2 linked regions of the Stegostoma tigrinum genome follow. The protein of the gene in region 1 interacts with the protein of each later gene in a biochemical or structural test. Links are inferred from orthologs where the notes say so. Each region holds a gene or a part of one and is shown on either strand. Other genes may lie near its edges.

What was found.
Region 2: the proteins of lamina-associated polypeptide 2, isoforms beta/delta/epsilon/gamma-like (region 1) and lmnb1 form a complex in vitro, tested with the Homo sapiens proteins (2 studies listed by BioGRID). The link is inferred for Stegostoma tigrinum from reciprocal best matches to the Homo sapiens genes TMPO and LMNB1.

The regions. Positions count from the first base shown.
Region 1 is NC_081378.1:53,061,188-53,068,691, reverse strand, and holds the start of lamina-associated polypeptide 2, isoforms beta/delta/epsilon/gamma-like, read right to left. Parts: upstream 3,108-7,504; 5' UTR 3,040-3,107; coding exon 2,809-3,039; intron 1-2,808. UniProt on the Homo sapiens protein: May help direct the assembly of the nuclear lamina and thereby help maintain the structural organization of the nuclear envelope. Possible receptor for attachment of lamin filaments to the inner nuclear membrane.
Region 2 is NC_081356.1:68,866,079-68,874,497, forward strand, and holds the start of lmnb1 (lamin-B1), read right to left. Parts: upstream 3,458-8,419; 5' UTR 3,025-3,457; coding exon 2,666-3,024; intron 1-2,665. UniProt on the Homo sapiens protein: Lamins are intermediate filament proteins that assemble into a filamentous meshwork, and which constitute the major components of the nuclear lamina, a fibrous layer on the nucleoplasmic side of the inner nuclear membrane.

The DNA.
Region 1 (7,504 bases):
TCAGGTGATGGTCGAAGGGATAAATGTAGCTGTTTATGGCTGAGGACAATAATTTAATAATTGGAAGCCTTTGAGTACTGCCCTGCCCCCAGATTAGGAGTTACACATTTGTTGCAAAGAATAGGAAATTACTGAAAGATAACTGGCAAAAAAAAATTCAATTTTCAATCTACAAACAGGAAGATAGTGAGTGTTGGCTTCTACTGGCAAGTTATAATTTTTATTCAAAGCAGCTTCAAGGCAAAATATCCTTGCACTGAATTTGTTAGTAACATTTATCAATGCAGTTTGAAGGTAATTTAGCGGAATCAACAACTGTAAAAACTTTAGCAAGTCACAGCAAAACTTCAAACTAGGAAGTAACATTTCAAAACCAGCTGCATTATGACAACATCTGGTCTTGGGCAACAGTTCATCACATGCAGCTTTTTACCAGAAACTTCTGTCAGAGACACAGTGGAGTACATCGAACAACAGTCCAGCCATTCCCCTGGAAAGAGTTACAATCTGCATCTGAAGTGACCATATTTCTAAATGTGATCCAGCTAAAAAACAAAAGTGGGAAAGTAGAATTGAGCTTTATGTTGTGCTTTGATCTCATGGAATGATGGAAAAGGGTTATATGGCTTATCCCTGCTCCTATTTCTTATCTACTAAAATTCTCAAAACTCCAGCATACTATTCATCAGCTCTACCAGTTGGTTACAGCTGTTAGATTCAAATTCAGTTGAAGTTTACCATTAAGAAATGAGATAAATAGTGAAACTAGGATTGCAGCTGAATAACAACACCTATTAAGAACCGGCTTTAACTTAGTGTTAGTCAATAGAAATATACATAGGAGGCATAGATAAGGAGACAGTTTTAGAGATGGGCATTGATTTGAGTGGACGCCTTACAAACAGACACAACACAGTAATTGTGTATCACACGCACTGAAATAGTCATAAACAGTCTAAAAGAAAAAGAAGATTGGGATTGCCATAACACAAGAAAAAAAGACAGGCTCTCTAGACATGCACCTGACAGGGTCAACCATATCTCATGTACGTAGACAAAATCTAACTGCCAATAAAAGTGACTTGATAGCCAAATCCATTGACTGGGCAGCGAGTGGGCTTGACAGGGCAGGTACAGAGAAGTTGTTTCCCAATGTAGGACAGTCTATAGTCAGAGGGCTTAATCTCGGAGTCAGATGTCAGCCATTTAAGACAAATACAGGGAGGGTGTTTCCTCAAAGGGAACTCTAGCCATGAATTCCTTACCGCAGAAAGCTGCAGAGGCTGTGTTATTAATATTCAAAAGCTCACATTATTGGATTTTTATTCAGTAAGGGAATCAAGTGTAATGGGGAAAATGGCAGGAGAGTGAAGTTGAGAATTATGAGATCAGCCATGATTGCCCTAAATGGAGAAGCGAACTCAGCTGGTTGAATGGTCTTCTTTTATTCTTACCTCTAAAAATCTTATGAAGATGACATAGTTGTCAAATGTGAGAAGTCATGAATGCTTACACTAAATGTGACATCTTTGAAGCATCAACTATTAGAAGTGTAATTCATCCTTTAACTTGAAATAGTCTTCATTTGCTAATGTTTAAATTCTGTCAATTTTAGTCAGTGTACTCCAGTGAAAGTTGCCCAGCAGTTTTCCTTCTGTAGGTATCCTTCTTTGAAAAAGTTGTCAGTCTCCAAGGAAATCATAACTAAAATGTGACAGTGAGGCCATAGAGGACTTGAATGCAGGATGAGAATTTTGACATCATAATGGTTATATGAAAGCCAGAAGCCTACAAGAGATGAGCACAAAAATGATGGATGAGCAGGAAATGAGAGTCACGTGGGAACACGAAATGAAACAACTGAAAAATATGCTCTGGGTATGGCAAAAAATATGAATGGAACCAGGAGAGTCCTAACTAGTTGAATAATAGTCGAGTGACATTCAATAATGTTCGGGTGTCAGGCTGAATGACAGATAGTTCCTCATATTCCACTTCTGGAACTAATGGCGACATTTCCGCCTAGCTGTCCTGAAGCTGACAACCATTGTCCATGTTTTCCATGGATGGGTGAAATCTGGGATTTCACCACTTGGGTCAGTTATTGGGTCACGGTTGGTGATATTTGCAGTCAATGTGCCGCAATGAGAAGCGGGACTGAATGCTGTGGGTATGTATGCTTCCTAACTGTGAAATGGGAAAGGCAAGTTAAACAAAAGATTAACTGAACCTGTGTGAATAAAAGCAAAATAGCGAAGATACTGGAATTGTGGAGCAAAAAGAATGTTGGAGAATGTTGCAGGTCTGGTGGTATCTATGGACAGAGGAACTGAGTTAACATTGTCACAAGTTCTGAAGAAGTCAATGTATTCCTTCAAAAGATTCAGTTCTGAAGTGGACAGCAAATGCTAACATTATTTCTCTCCGCGATGTGGAGATGTGCAGGTTCGGTGGATTTGCTATGTTAAACTGCCCACAGTATCTAGGATGGGAAATACAGGGACAGGGTATAGACTGGGATGCTCTTCAGAGGGTCGGTGTGGACTTGAGGGGCCAAATAGCCTGCTTCCACACTGCAGGGATTCTAACAAAAATTCTACGCAGAGTTTCACCATCACTTTCCGTTTATGTTTGAAGAGTTTCGCCTGTGGAGTTGGTTTTTGGTTTTCACACATGAACGGAAGTTGAGTAAATTGGCGCCACTTTCTGATTCTGATGGAGCGTTCATAAACATTGAGCGGGGACTTGGGGAGAAAGGGATGGAGGGCTTACTAATGTCCCAGGCCACCCACTCCCTGGCTTTCTCACCTTGCCTGCTCGGCCCCGGCCTCGGGTTGCCCCCAGTCCGCTGTCCGCCTCCTCATCGCTGGAGAAGTCCGTGCCGCGGCCGCTGTTCCGCGCCGTCAGGTGCTGAAGGTAAAGCTGGACGTAGACATCTTTGCGCTGGTCCCCGAGCGGCAGCTGCACGCTGTGGGCGATCAGCTCACTCTTCAACCGCTCTTTGGTCAGCACCGACGGGTCCTGCAGATACTCGGGCATCGCGGCTCGAGCTCCCTCTAGGCCTCACAACTCCCGCTCTGCCACCCACCAACAACGCGGGCCGTCATTGGCCCTGGGGCCGCACTAACACGTTCCCCAATTGGATAGAGGGAGTAACTGGGTGGGGCTGTAACCCAGGGTAACGGGTCAGGCGGGAAGAAGGAGGGTGATCCTGGCCATGGTCCACATTGTCTTCCTCACAGCTCCACAGGATGCAGGACAGCTTCTCATTTCCTCAAAGCAGTCTGCGCTAAACCTTCTCTCAGCTTCTTCCATCAGAGACACACAAAAAACTGCAAATGATGGAATCTAAGCTGGACAAACAGGAGGCTGGAAGAGCACAGCAAGACAGGCAGCATATGAAGGAAAGGAGCAGGCAACCTTTCGGGTATTACCCTTCTTCAGGACTGGATGTGGGGGTAGGAGGAGCTGCAGATAAAGAGAGGGGTTAACGGTGTGGTGGTGTGGCAGCGAGAAATGGGACTCACTGAGTTCATGTCTGAGGCAAGGAGAAAACTCCTTCAAAGTGGGCATCCTTTGAAGAGGTTTCACAGTGGTATAAACTTGATTAGCGACCACACGTAGACTGTCTCACCAAGCATCTACGCCTGGCCTGTAACAGCCAACCTAACCTCCCGGTCACCGCTCATTTCATTCCCCTCCCACTCTCCATCCTCAGCCTCCTCCAGTGTCACAAGTAACTCAGAACACAAATTTGAGCAACAACATTTTATCTTCTGCTGGGTACCGTGGAAGACTCAAAATTGAGTTCTCCAATTTCAAATAACCTTCCCACCCAGCGCACATCCTCCCTTTCATCCCAGCTACTGACCCTCCCTTCTAGCCACCAACTGGATTCACCTGTACCTACTATGTGTCCACTTATCTGCAACATTCCGCTACCTCCCCTCCTACACTTCTCCCTTTATCTGCAGCTCCCCCTAACCCCACATCCACTTCTGAAGAAGGATAATACCCGAAGGGTATTTCTCCTTTTCTCCAGATGCTGCCTGTCTTGCTGCGTTCTTTCAGCACCCTGTTTGTCTGTCTTAGTTTTTTCCATTGCATTAACACCTTTCCTTAGATAAAGTGACCAATACTTACACAATACTCCATATATGGTCTTACCAGTACCCTGAATAACTGAAGTATAAACTCATTACTTTGTATGTTCAATTCCCCTTGGAATAAACAAGCGCTTTCCTTGTTATTTGTAGTAAATTATGTCTTTTTTGGAATATAAAAGGCTTTTAAAATGTCTTTGAATGCCTTTAGGCTGCCAGTGGAATTCCTTAGAGAGCCTCTTTGAAGGATCACATATAGATGCAATGATTAGAGATTTGTGACAGCAATGAATTCAGTTTTTGGGGTGCAGTGGTTCTCACAGCTGGGCAGGAAGGGAGTGCAGTAGTAGTGAGCTGTCAGTGCATTGATGTTTTCTGTCATATGCTGTTATATGTTTTGGAACCTTGATGTACATAAATTGTTACTTGTGCTGGTTTGGTCTGTTTCACCATACAGATTTCAAGCCAGTGGATGTCAGTCTTATAGCACATAATGCTGTTTCTGGTTTGAAATGCCAGCCATGGACAAACATTCTTAAATCCCACAGTTAAGCTGGCATTGAGATTGGCACATATGATGATCATTGAACCTGGGATCAGGAAGAACTACAGAAGCAGTTCTGAGGAAAGGTCACCCGGACCCGAAACATTAACTCTGTTTTCTCCTCCACTGATGCTGCCAGACCTGCTGAGCTTTTCCAGCAACTTTGTTTTTGCACAAGAAGCAGGGAGCTGGAAGGCTGGCTTGACCCAGCATCATTGAGTGTTCTTCAGCTCTTCAGCCCTCGTGAAATTTCCCCTACCATGTCTGGATCCAATGACATCTCATATTGAATGTTTGAAGGTTTTTCCAGCTTGATACCAAATTTAGTATGAGGTGTTACTAAAATAAAAAAAGTAGAAAAAATATTGTAAACAGTTGACAAATGCTGGCTTCCCTTCTTCAATACAAAACATCTCCTTAAGTCCCTCTCTCCTGTCTTCTCCACCCTCACTTCCATCGTGTGTGAAGAACTAACTCAGATCTGAGTCATTTGATCTGTTCAGTAGCTTCTTCCCTAGGTAGACCAATGTCATTTGGACCATGTTAGTTTCCAGTCTTTTGGGAGCTGTGTTAGTCATTGCTTCTGAATGCATGAACTATGCATTCCCATATTGGAGCAGCTCAAATCTTAAGTTTAGTTTAATTTTAACCACTCTCTTTAAAAAGCAATAACACTTCAGCATCACACTCCAGTGTCAGTGACCAGTGTCACTTGCCAATGCCCATGTCCAGGGTTCAGTTTTCTGTCCAAAGTCAGCAACTAGTGCCTGGAGTCAGCGACTAAGGTCTAGTTTTCTGTCCAGTTTCAGTTACCCAAATCCTGAGGTTGCAGTTCTTATCATGGGGGAGAAATTCCTACAGGAGGCGAACGTGAGACTACAGCTAATTGAATAAAACAAATCAGAGCAATATAAAATAGGCAAATACCTGTTCAATGAACAATTTTGAGATGTATAGAATGCATGCAGCACTTAAGTAATGAAACACGTCATTCCATATATAGATGATGTAGTTTATATAAAAACGATGACCCCGACGTGATTCGAACACGCAGCCTTCTGATCTGGAGTCAGACGCGCTACCGTTGCGCCACGAGGTCTGAGAATCCTGCTCTGGGAAATCTTCTTAAAGCTGCAGCTCGCAGTGCATTTTTTTTACTGTTAATTCAGCTGCGAACCTGCTTGGTCCTGGTACTGACGGTGGCCCACGCCTCAGCCCGTGGTACCTGCTTCCCGGGGTCGCCCCCACCCACAGCGTGCGCCCACTCGGGGCCCACCACCCATACCCTTGTGACACTGCAGCACCACCTTCTGGGCGGGAGTGGGAATGGCAGCCAATACCGTCTACTGCCCTCCAGAAGGTTTAGGTGTCCTTTCAGCTGTCACATGTCGTCCTGCTCCTGATGTCGAAACTTTTCATTTCCTTTGCTTTGTTATAAAGCTTCATCGAGAATGCTGATACTTGTTGCCTGTCACTAATTGAAGAGACTCCTTTAGCTACTGCATCTGTAGCGATTGTAACGAATTCAGCCAGGTGGAGCATTTTTTGCTTTGATTTATTATTGTCACATGTACCTAGTTATGGACAGGTAAAATTTTGTTTTGCAAGCTGGCTGTGAGAAATCTGGATCAGTGTAAAAATTTCTCCACGTGCAAATAAAGGGTGACTTGGTGACGGGATAGCAGCCTCTTTGGAATGGCGATTATTGGCTTCCCATGATAGAGCTGCTTTCATCCTTCTAACTTGCAGGTCAAGTGAATACTATCCTGAGTTTTGGCACAATTCTTCAGTTATTCTCATCCTGAGAGGACTTGTGATTTTGGTCCCACTCCTCACCTCCATGTAGTGGATGGTGGGAGACTGGCCACTCAGGAGGCAAGCTTGATGTCTGAAGATGCCAGTGAGAGATAGGAAATCATCTGGAGAGGGTGCAGAGGGGATTTACCAGGAAGTTGCCTGGGCTAGAAAGTTTCAGTTATGAAGAGTGATTGGACAGACTGTGATTGTTTACATTGGAACAGAGGAAATTGAGAGCATAAACAGGGTGTATGGGAATAAACATCTCCCCTTGGAGCGATCAATGACCCAGGGCACAGATTTATGTTAAGGGTCAAAAGACTTTGAGGAGATGAGGGTGGTCAGAATCTGGAACACACTGCCTGTAAGAAGCAGTAACCCTCATAACATTTAAGGTGCAGTCTCATAGTTCATTGAAAGTGGAATCGCAGGTAGACAGGGTGGTGGAGGAGGCATTTGGCACGCTTGCCTCTGTTGGTCAGTGTAGGAGTTGGCATGTCATATTGTGGCTATACAGGCCACTGTTGGAATACTGTGTGCAATTCTGGTCTCCCTGCTATAGGAAGGATGTTGTAAAACTTGAAAGGGCTTGGAAAAGATTTACAAGGATATTGCCAGGGTTGGAGGCTTTGAGCAAAAGGGAGACGCTGAATAGGCTGGGGCCGTTTTCCCTGGATTGTCAAAGGCTGAAGGGTGACCTTGTAAAGGTTTAGAAAGCCAAGAAAGAAGTAAATAGGGTGAATCGCAAACTTTTTTATCCAAGGATAGGTGAGTTCAAAACGAGACTCAAGGCTTAAGGTAGAGGGATAAGATTTTTAAAAGGGACCTGAGAAGCAACATTTTCACATGGAATGTGGTGCGTATATGGACTGAGTGCCAGAGGAAGTGGCGGAGGCCTTGGGGTTACGGTGAATTTTGACTACAGAGAGCAGAGACACCAGCGAGTTTTGAGAAGATTTGTAGCTCAGGTTGAGGTTCTGGATGTGAGTTTGCTCGCTGAGCTGGAAGGTTAGTTTTCAGACATTTCGTCACTTTTTTTTAATTTGAAAAAATATACTTT
Region 2 (8,419 bases), on another chromosome or scaffold:
ACACTGCTGAATGTCACCAGTGGAGGGGATGAATGTTTGTGGATGTGGTGCTAATCAGCAGGCCTTTTTGTCCTGAAAGGTCTCAAGCTTCTTGACTGTTGGCGCTGCTAAGGGGGTGATGAATATGCCATCACAACATGGATTTATGCCGAATACATACCGGACTGGTTTTGGGGAGTGAGGAAGTGTGTTACTCACTGCAATATTCCTTGCACCACCTCTGTTCTTGTGGCCTTGATTTATATGGCCAGTGTAGTCCAGTTTCTGGTAACCCACCCCACCCAGGATGTTGGCAGTGGGGCATTCAAGGATGGTGGTTAGATTTTCTCTTATTGGAAATGGTTATTGCCTGGCACATGCACCATGAATCTTACTTGTACTTTCGATTCAAGCCTCAGTGTTGCCCAGGTCTTGCTGTATTTGTGATTAAGGCTGAGATAAACAGGTCTTGGAATCAGTCAGAGAATTGAGGGTTAATTTGGGAAAGGACTGGAAAGTAGAATGGGTGATGATCAATGCAGCCCTGATTTCATAAGAGCAGAAGTAAGCCATGTGGTCTTCCAGAGCGCTCAACTTTTCCACCTTGGAAAGAAAGAGGAACAGTTTAAAATTTCAGGGACTGTGGAAATGTTCAGACTATCCACCGTTGGCAAAGAGGCTGCTATCGTGGTCACCTTGCACCTTCTCACTTTAAAGGCAACATTATCAGGGCTGCTTCAACATCAAGCTATGACACCACGCAGCAAGCTATCCAAGCAGACTTCAAATGACTCTGAGATAATGGGATTCTCCAGCATCTGCAGTTCCAAGATAATAGTGCGAAGCTGGATGAACACAGCAGGCCAAGCAGCATCTCAGGAGCACAAAAGCTGACGTTTCAGGCCTAGACCTCAGAGGATGACGAAGGGTCTAGGCCCGAAACGTCAGCTTTTGTGCTCCTGAGATGCTGCTTGGCCTGCTGTGTTCATCCAGCTTCGCACTTTATTATCTTCAAATGTCTCCCTTCGTTTTATCTCAGACCTTAAAATTAATGTCAAAAAGGCGATTCCATACAACAAAGGATGATTTTTCACCTTCATATCGTAAATCACAAGTGTAAGCATACTCAACCGCACTAGAGCGTGGAAAAAAATTGAATCATTTATGAAATAATTGATAGATGCATTAACGAAGCTACCATGTATCCAACAACCGCCCTTAGTTGTAAACAATTTCTGATCAGTTGTTGCAAACAAACATCGCACAGAAACTTACCTGCGGGGGGTGGAGAGAATAATGATCTATGACCGAGCACAGTAAACAGGGGAATCTAAGTAAGAGCGCCTGGAGATTTCACGAAAATCTATTTCTTGCCACTGTTAACACAAAAAAATGGAGAATGTGGTGGCGATGACGGGTGGTGTCGCGGAAGTTGTGAATAATGTATATAAAGATAATATTAAAAGTGACACTTTTTAAAAAAATACTTGTAGATGCGGTCACCCTTACAGCACGCCTCCCTCAGAGGGTGATAAAGCTTCTTTATTCCTATCAGGCTATACACATTCTCGGCTACTACCCTTCGAACCCGCATAGCGCAATAAAACGAGAAATGTTACAATGTAACCTTACGTGCGGCATAGTTCTCTGGGGGATATTTATGGAAAGTTCTCATTCAATTGGTTTCGGAGGCACCCAGCCTGCGGCTGAACGGAGCCGCTCTTTGTTTGCACAGCGGCGCTTCCACGCGTTGGATGGCTATTGTCCAATACCAACTCATCACTACCCCCCCCCCCACGTCAAAACACACCCCCCAGTGAACAAAAATAAATAAATGTTTACTATGGAACTCGAACTACTTCGCCATTTTAACAGTACAAACACAAATCGAATCTATGATGTAGTATTCGAAGAGCTGAGATTTTAGGGATCCCTTCCCCCACACCAAAAAGAAAAGATAGTAGAAAGCGCCAGAGCCTTCAGCCCATATAAGGGCAGCCTGTGTAATAACTTGACAGACGGGTCCATTCAACCAGCGCCAATTACAACTGGTATGTAATTAGAGATAAGAAACAATTCCTATATAAAACCGTGGACGCTGGCTTTAAAGATTCAGATTTCACAGGCTAGAAAATATATCACTTAAAACCATAACAAATTGCTGTTTGAGATGTCGAAGACTCAGACACCATCTGTCCAATGGTTTATTGGAAAAAGATGGGAGTCTGGGCATTGTTTTTTTTAAAAAAAGCTGTTCAGTACAAACCGACCAACTCTACATCAAGGAATTCCCTAGGAACTTGCCGCAGATATTCGTCCGAGTACCCAATCACTCCTTATGAAAATACGATACGGTAAAATTATACAAACACAATGAACTTAGTGCCTCTAAAAGGACAGGCTAGTCTACTTAAAACGGAAAAATCTCAAATCACTACCGTCAATAAAGTAATTTTAAAACGTCCATCGGTAACAAACAAACCGCACAAATCCAGTAATATTTTCCCCTCGACACTAGTTCGATACTAGAATTTAAATGAAGCTCACATACACATTTTAATCCACATGTACGCCAATAGGAGTACACATCGCTAACGTGAACTCCTAAAGTAAACATTTATCCGCCTTAAAAAAATTACACTTTACCATCGAAGAGGTGTGCACCCCAAATTTCAGTCAGCCTTACTTTTGCTGCACGTTGTCGTAGTCCCCGCGGAGTTTCCCCAGCTCTATCTGCAACCGCGCTCTCTCTTTCGCAGTCTCGTCCAGAGATTGGCGAGCGTCCGCCAGCTCATTCTCGTACAGGTTCCGGATGCCGGTCAACTCTCGGCTGGTCACTTCTTCCCTCTCGGTGATTTGCAACTGCAGGATACTGTTCTCGGACTCCAGCGAGCGTACCTTTTCGATGTATACGGCGAGCCTGTCGTTGAGGTTCTTCAGTTCCTCTTTCTCCTGCAGCCGGGAAATGCGGGTCGGACTGAGCGGGGAGCTGGCTGCACTCCGGCCGCTTGGACGCGGCTGGCTCCTTGGAGTAGCCGTCGCCATAACTTCCAGTCAGTGGTTTTTGTTTAAACTTTATTTTGTAAATAAAAACTAAAGCAAACAAATGAAGTGAACGCGCAATGTTTTTCTTCCTCAAACAAAATAACCAAAGCAATGCGAGAAGCGCGAGCACCTGATTTTCCTTTCCCCTTGTTCTGTGCTCGCGCTTCTCTTGCACGATCACTAGCTCCCGCTGTTAAAATGGCTCCTGGATTTGGTGTTGGAGACACACAACGTGACTATCTGCAGGGGCCAATTGTACCGCGAGACTAGACCGGTCCTTAAACACCGTCCACTGTAAAGTTTCCCAAGTATTAATTTTCCAATGTAAATCACCGTATAGCTGCAACATGTTCTCCGCTTATGACTTAAATAAGGCCAAATGCATCCGTTGAGAATTAGTTAACCAGGAATTACAGTTGTTTGATCGTGGAGAGGTTTTGTTTCTCAGAATCCGTGTTGCTGCGGTGCAGCGATAATTGTAGATGTGATGATGCTTATATTGAATGATATGACCCATGTATCGCATCATATTGAACTGCTCTCCGTATTAGGAGAATATTGTAATAGGTTGACTGGAGGGTGAAAGAAGTTGAATGGATTAGTCGAATTGTTTTATTAAACATGACTTAAGGTTCGGAATTTATGAGATTTTGTTATTTGAACAGCTTCTCGTTTATATTTATCGTGCTGACGAAAATCGATAAACCGTTAAGGTTGTATGTGCATAAATCTTTCGTGAACAGGGATTTCACCATATGGTGAACGCGTACAGCTTCGATGATAAAAAGGTAAATGGTACAGCATATTGGTAAACAATTGTTTATTTTCACAAGAACACGAGTGATCTGAAAACAGAAAGATCTGGAAATGCTCAGCAGGTCAATGGAGAAACGAGGAAGCAGTTTACATTTTTTAGTCTAAAACTGTTCGACTTCTAATGAGGTTCATTGCACTGTTTGAGTAGTGGGAGATAAATCATAAGACGGCCATAAAACCATAGAAGCTGGAGTAGGTCTTTCAGCTTGGTGAGTCTGCTCTGCCATTCTTGGCTGGTCTGATAATCCTCAACTCCACTTTACAGCCTTTTCTCTGTAACCCTTGATTCCATGACTGATTAGGAATCTCAGGCCTCTGGGTTAAAAAATTCCATAAATTCACTATTCTCTGAGAGAAGAATCTCTCCTCATCTCTGTTTTAAAAGGGAATCCTTTCTTTTGAGATTATGACCTCTGGTCCTGGATTCTCCCATAGAAAACACAACCCTTCACATCAAGTTCCCCAAAAATCTTGAATGTTTCAGTCAGGACACTTCTCATTCTTTTAAACTTTAGAGAATTCAGGCCCAGCCTACTCAACCTCTCCCCATAAGATGGTCCCTCCAAAGCTGGGATCACCTAACAAGCCTTCTCTAGACTACCTCCAATGCCAGTGTATCTTTCCTTAGATAAAACTGTTCACAATATTCCACCTGTTATCTGAATAGTACCTTATATAGTTTTAGCAAGATTTTTACACTCCAGAATAGGTATCATATGCGTTCCCTATTGTTCCACCACTAGTACTTCCAGTTACCTTAGCTCTAAGCTCTGAAATTTCCTCTTCTTTCCACTCATATTTCCAATCCTCTTTCTTTCTTTCTTTAAAATTCTTATTAATGCCAAGCTTTTGGCCATCTGATCTCATACATGACCTTATGTGACTGTATCTTTATTTTATCATTCTCCTGTGAAGTACCTTGGAACTTTTCATGATGTTAGAGATGTTGTATAGATGTAGGATGTTAGAAGTCATGGATATATAGATATAGTGTATTCAATTTTTTTGTATGGGACAATCTCCTCATACCAGAGTCAGTCTAATTAACCTACGGTGCACTGCCTCTAAGACAAATCCATCCTTCCTCGGATAGGAAACCAAAATTACACATTAATACACTTGCTGACTGACCAAGGTCCTATACAATTGCAGTAAGGCTTTTCTGCTTTTATACTCCAATCCCTTGCAATAAAGGTGTTTTCATATTTTCATTTGCTTTCCTCATGACTTGCTGTACCTACACGTTAACTTCCTGTGATTTTTGTAGAAGCGCACACTGGTCCCACTGAATATTATTAGCATTTACCAGTTTCTCAACTTAAATCTACTTTTCCACTTTTCCAGCCAAAGGAGGTCATTTCACACTTGTCACAAAATAATCCATCTGTCTTTTCTTGGCTTTTGACTTTTTACATATATACAGAAGATTATAAAGCAAGTCCACAATTTAAGACATCTTGCTTAACATATTTTTGTTTTGATGTTTTTTATTCTTTGGGCTTTTTTTGTTTTGCATTGCCATTTTCATTTTAACATCATTTGTGTGTGCTGTTGCTGTAAGATTTCGGGGTGCACTTTAACTTGAATTACAAGACGTCAGTCAATTACAATTATTGACTGGCTCTCTCAAATTTAGTCTTAAAGAACTGAATACTTACAAGTCCTATTCCAAGTACAAATATGTTTTCACAAGTTTTAAAGAATTTATTAAGCTTTTGATAACCAGTACATAAGAAATAGTAGTTAATAAACAGTAAATTTATAGTCAATCCAGTTTAGAATACCACTTTGTGACATGGGTTAACTGGGCACAGGCCTCTCATTCTGTTTTGTTGACTGAAATTCTCCTTCTGCCTTTTAGCTTCTTATGAATTGAACCATTAAAACGCAGTCCTAACCCTGGCTCTACATGATCTGAGGCATTCTAAACTCTAATTGGCTCACTAGATTAGATTCCCTACAGTGTGGAAACAGGCTGTTCGGCCCAACAAGTCCACTCTGCCCTTTGAAGCATCCCACCCAGGCCCATTCCCCTATATCCCACACACCCTTGAACACTATGGGCAATTTAGCGTGGCTGATCCACCTAACCTACACATCTTTGTACTGTGGGAGGAAACTGGAGCACCTGGAGGAAACCCACACAGACACAGGAAGAATATGCACACTCCACATAGTCGCCCAAGGCTGGAATTGAACCTTGGTCCCTGGTACTGTGAGGCTGCAATGCTAACCACTGAGCCACTGTGCCACCCCATTGATTAGTACATGAACATCTCATGGTCAGTATTGAATTGGCTAGGTACTATCTGCCTTATTCCTGAATGATTTATTTTGAAGCAATGGTCAACTTACTGGTATCACTTCCAATAGTAATGTGATTCATTCTTTCACATCAATTATTTTGCAAGATCACCCCTTTTATAACAGCTTGTCTCTCTTAGTTTACTAACTCCATAGATCTTTACCAAGACGTGCTGGAATCAATGAACAATGTGTGCATTTGCTTAGATTTTGTCACCCTTTAGTGATTAATCATCATTCCCGTTGTTCGAAATGACACATATACATAGTTCAGATGCACGTACACACACATATATACTCAATATGGTTGTTACACACTTTGTTACCTAACTAAGCCACTTTAAAACATAACTATATTTGATAAAAAGCCATTTACTTCAAAACATTCCCATACATGTTATGCTAAGTTTATATTAACTGAAACAGTAAAATAATAACAAAACCATGATCAATTATCTCAGTTTTGAACAGTGACATATGGCTTTCTTTATGAAATATATTCCCTAACCATCCATAATTAAATAACATATAGTTCCTCACCTGATTTAAAAAGTCAAACATAGAAACATGAACATAGAAACATAGACAGGAGCAGGAGAAGGCCATTTGGCCATTCGAGCCTGCTCCACCATTCAGCACGACCATGGCTGATCAACCAACTCAATAGCCTAATCCTTCTTTCTCTCCATAACTTTTGATCCCATTTGCTCCAAGTGCTATATCTAGTCACCTCTTGAATACACATAATGTTTGACATCAACTACTTCCTGTGTTAATGAATTCAACAGGCTCACCATTCTTTGTGTGAAGAAATGTCTCCTCATCTCCACCCTAAATTGTCTACTCCAAATTCTCATACTGTGACCCTGATTCTGGACACTGTCATCATCAGGAACATCCTCCTTGCATCCTCCTTGTCCAGTTCTGTTAGAATTTTATAAGTCTCTATGAGATACCCCTCATTCGTCTGAACTCTAGCGAAAACAATCCAAACCTCGTCAAGAAGAGATAGTAAGAACTGCCAATGCTGGAGTCAGAAGTAACACAGTATAGAGCTGGTGGAATACAGCAGGCCAGGCAGCATCAGAGGTGCAGGAAAGTTGACGTTTTGAGTCAGGACCCGTCTACTTAGCACCAACAATTTAGTCAGTACATCTTCTTTAGTGATTGTGAGTTTCCTTAGTTCATCCTTCTGTACCAATTCCTGAAGCTCTCCTTGAAGTGCAGCAGTATTGATGCTAATGACCGGGATAAGTTCTTACCAATTGTGCATGATAGCAATAACTTGTCCATCCAACTGGGTCATTCTTTCAGTCTTAACACTTACTGTTAGTAATTGGGCAGGTGGCAGTAGATAAGGAATGAGAAAAAAGAAAACCCTGTACTCAGGATCTTGCTATCTGTTGGGATAGCTTGACGCATGTGCCCAAAGATCTACAGGTTGAAATGGACCTGTTTGGTCATATAGCAGAAACTTGTGATCCTGTGTCGGCATCATCGTCAATTGAGAAGGGGTGAGGTCCAAAACCAGAAGCCATAAGTATATTTTACTCAATAATAAATCCAATAAATAATTTACAAGAAACTTCTTACTCAGACAGTAAAGAAAATGTGGAACTTGCAAACATAGAACAGTTGAGACAAATAACTTGGTGCATTTAAGCGAAAGTTCGATATTGACATAATGGAAATTGATGCATATAATAATCTGGTCAGATGAAATAAAGTGGGTGGAAGCTCATATGGAGCACAAACATGTGAGCTTCAAACTCTGTGACGAACCTCACATGGAAGAGTGGCATGGTGCCTCAAGTGATTAGCACTGCTGCCTCACAGTGCTAGAGATCCAGGTTTGATTCCAGCCTTGGGTGACCATCTGTATGGAATTTGCATGTTCTCCCTGTGTCTGTGTGGGTTTCCTCTGGGTGCTCCAGTTTCTTCCCATAGTCCAAACATGTACAGGTTCAGTGGATCGGCCATGCTAAATTGATCCATAGTGTCCGGGGATGTGCAGATTAGGTGGATTAGCTATGGTAAATGTGGGATTACAAGGATAAGGTGGGGGGAGGAACGGCACTTGATCTGGGTGGAATGCTGTTCGGGTGGTTGGAGCAGACTTGACTAACTGAACGGCCTCTATTTGCAATGCAGGAATTCTGATTCTATGTGCAATGGGTAGTACTTGGAGTATTGGAGATTTATGCCCTTTCTTCAGTACTTTGACTTCAACTCTAAAAATTCTTAATCAATTCTTTTGGAGTGTTTGCTGACTCCC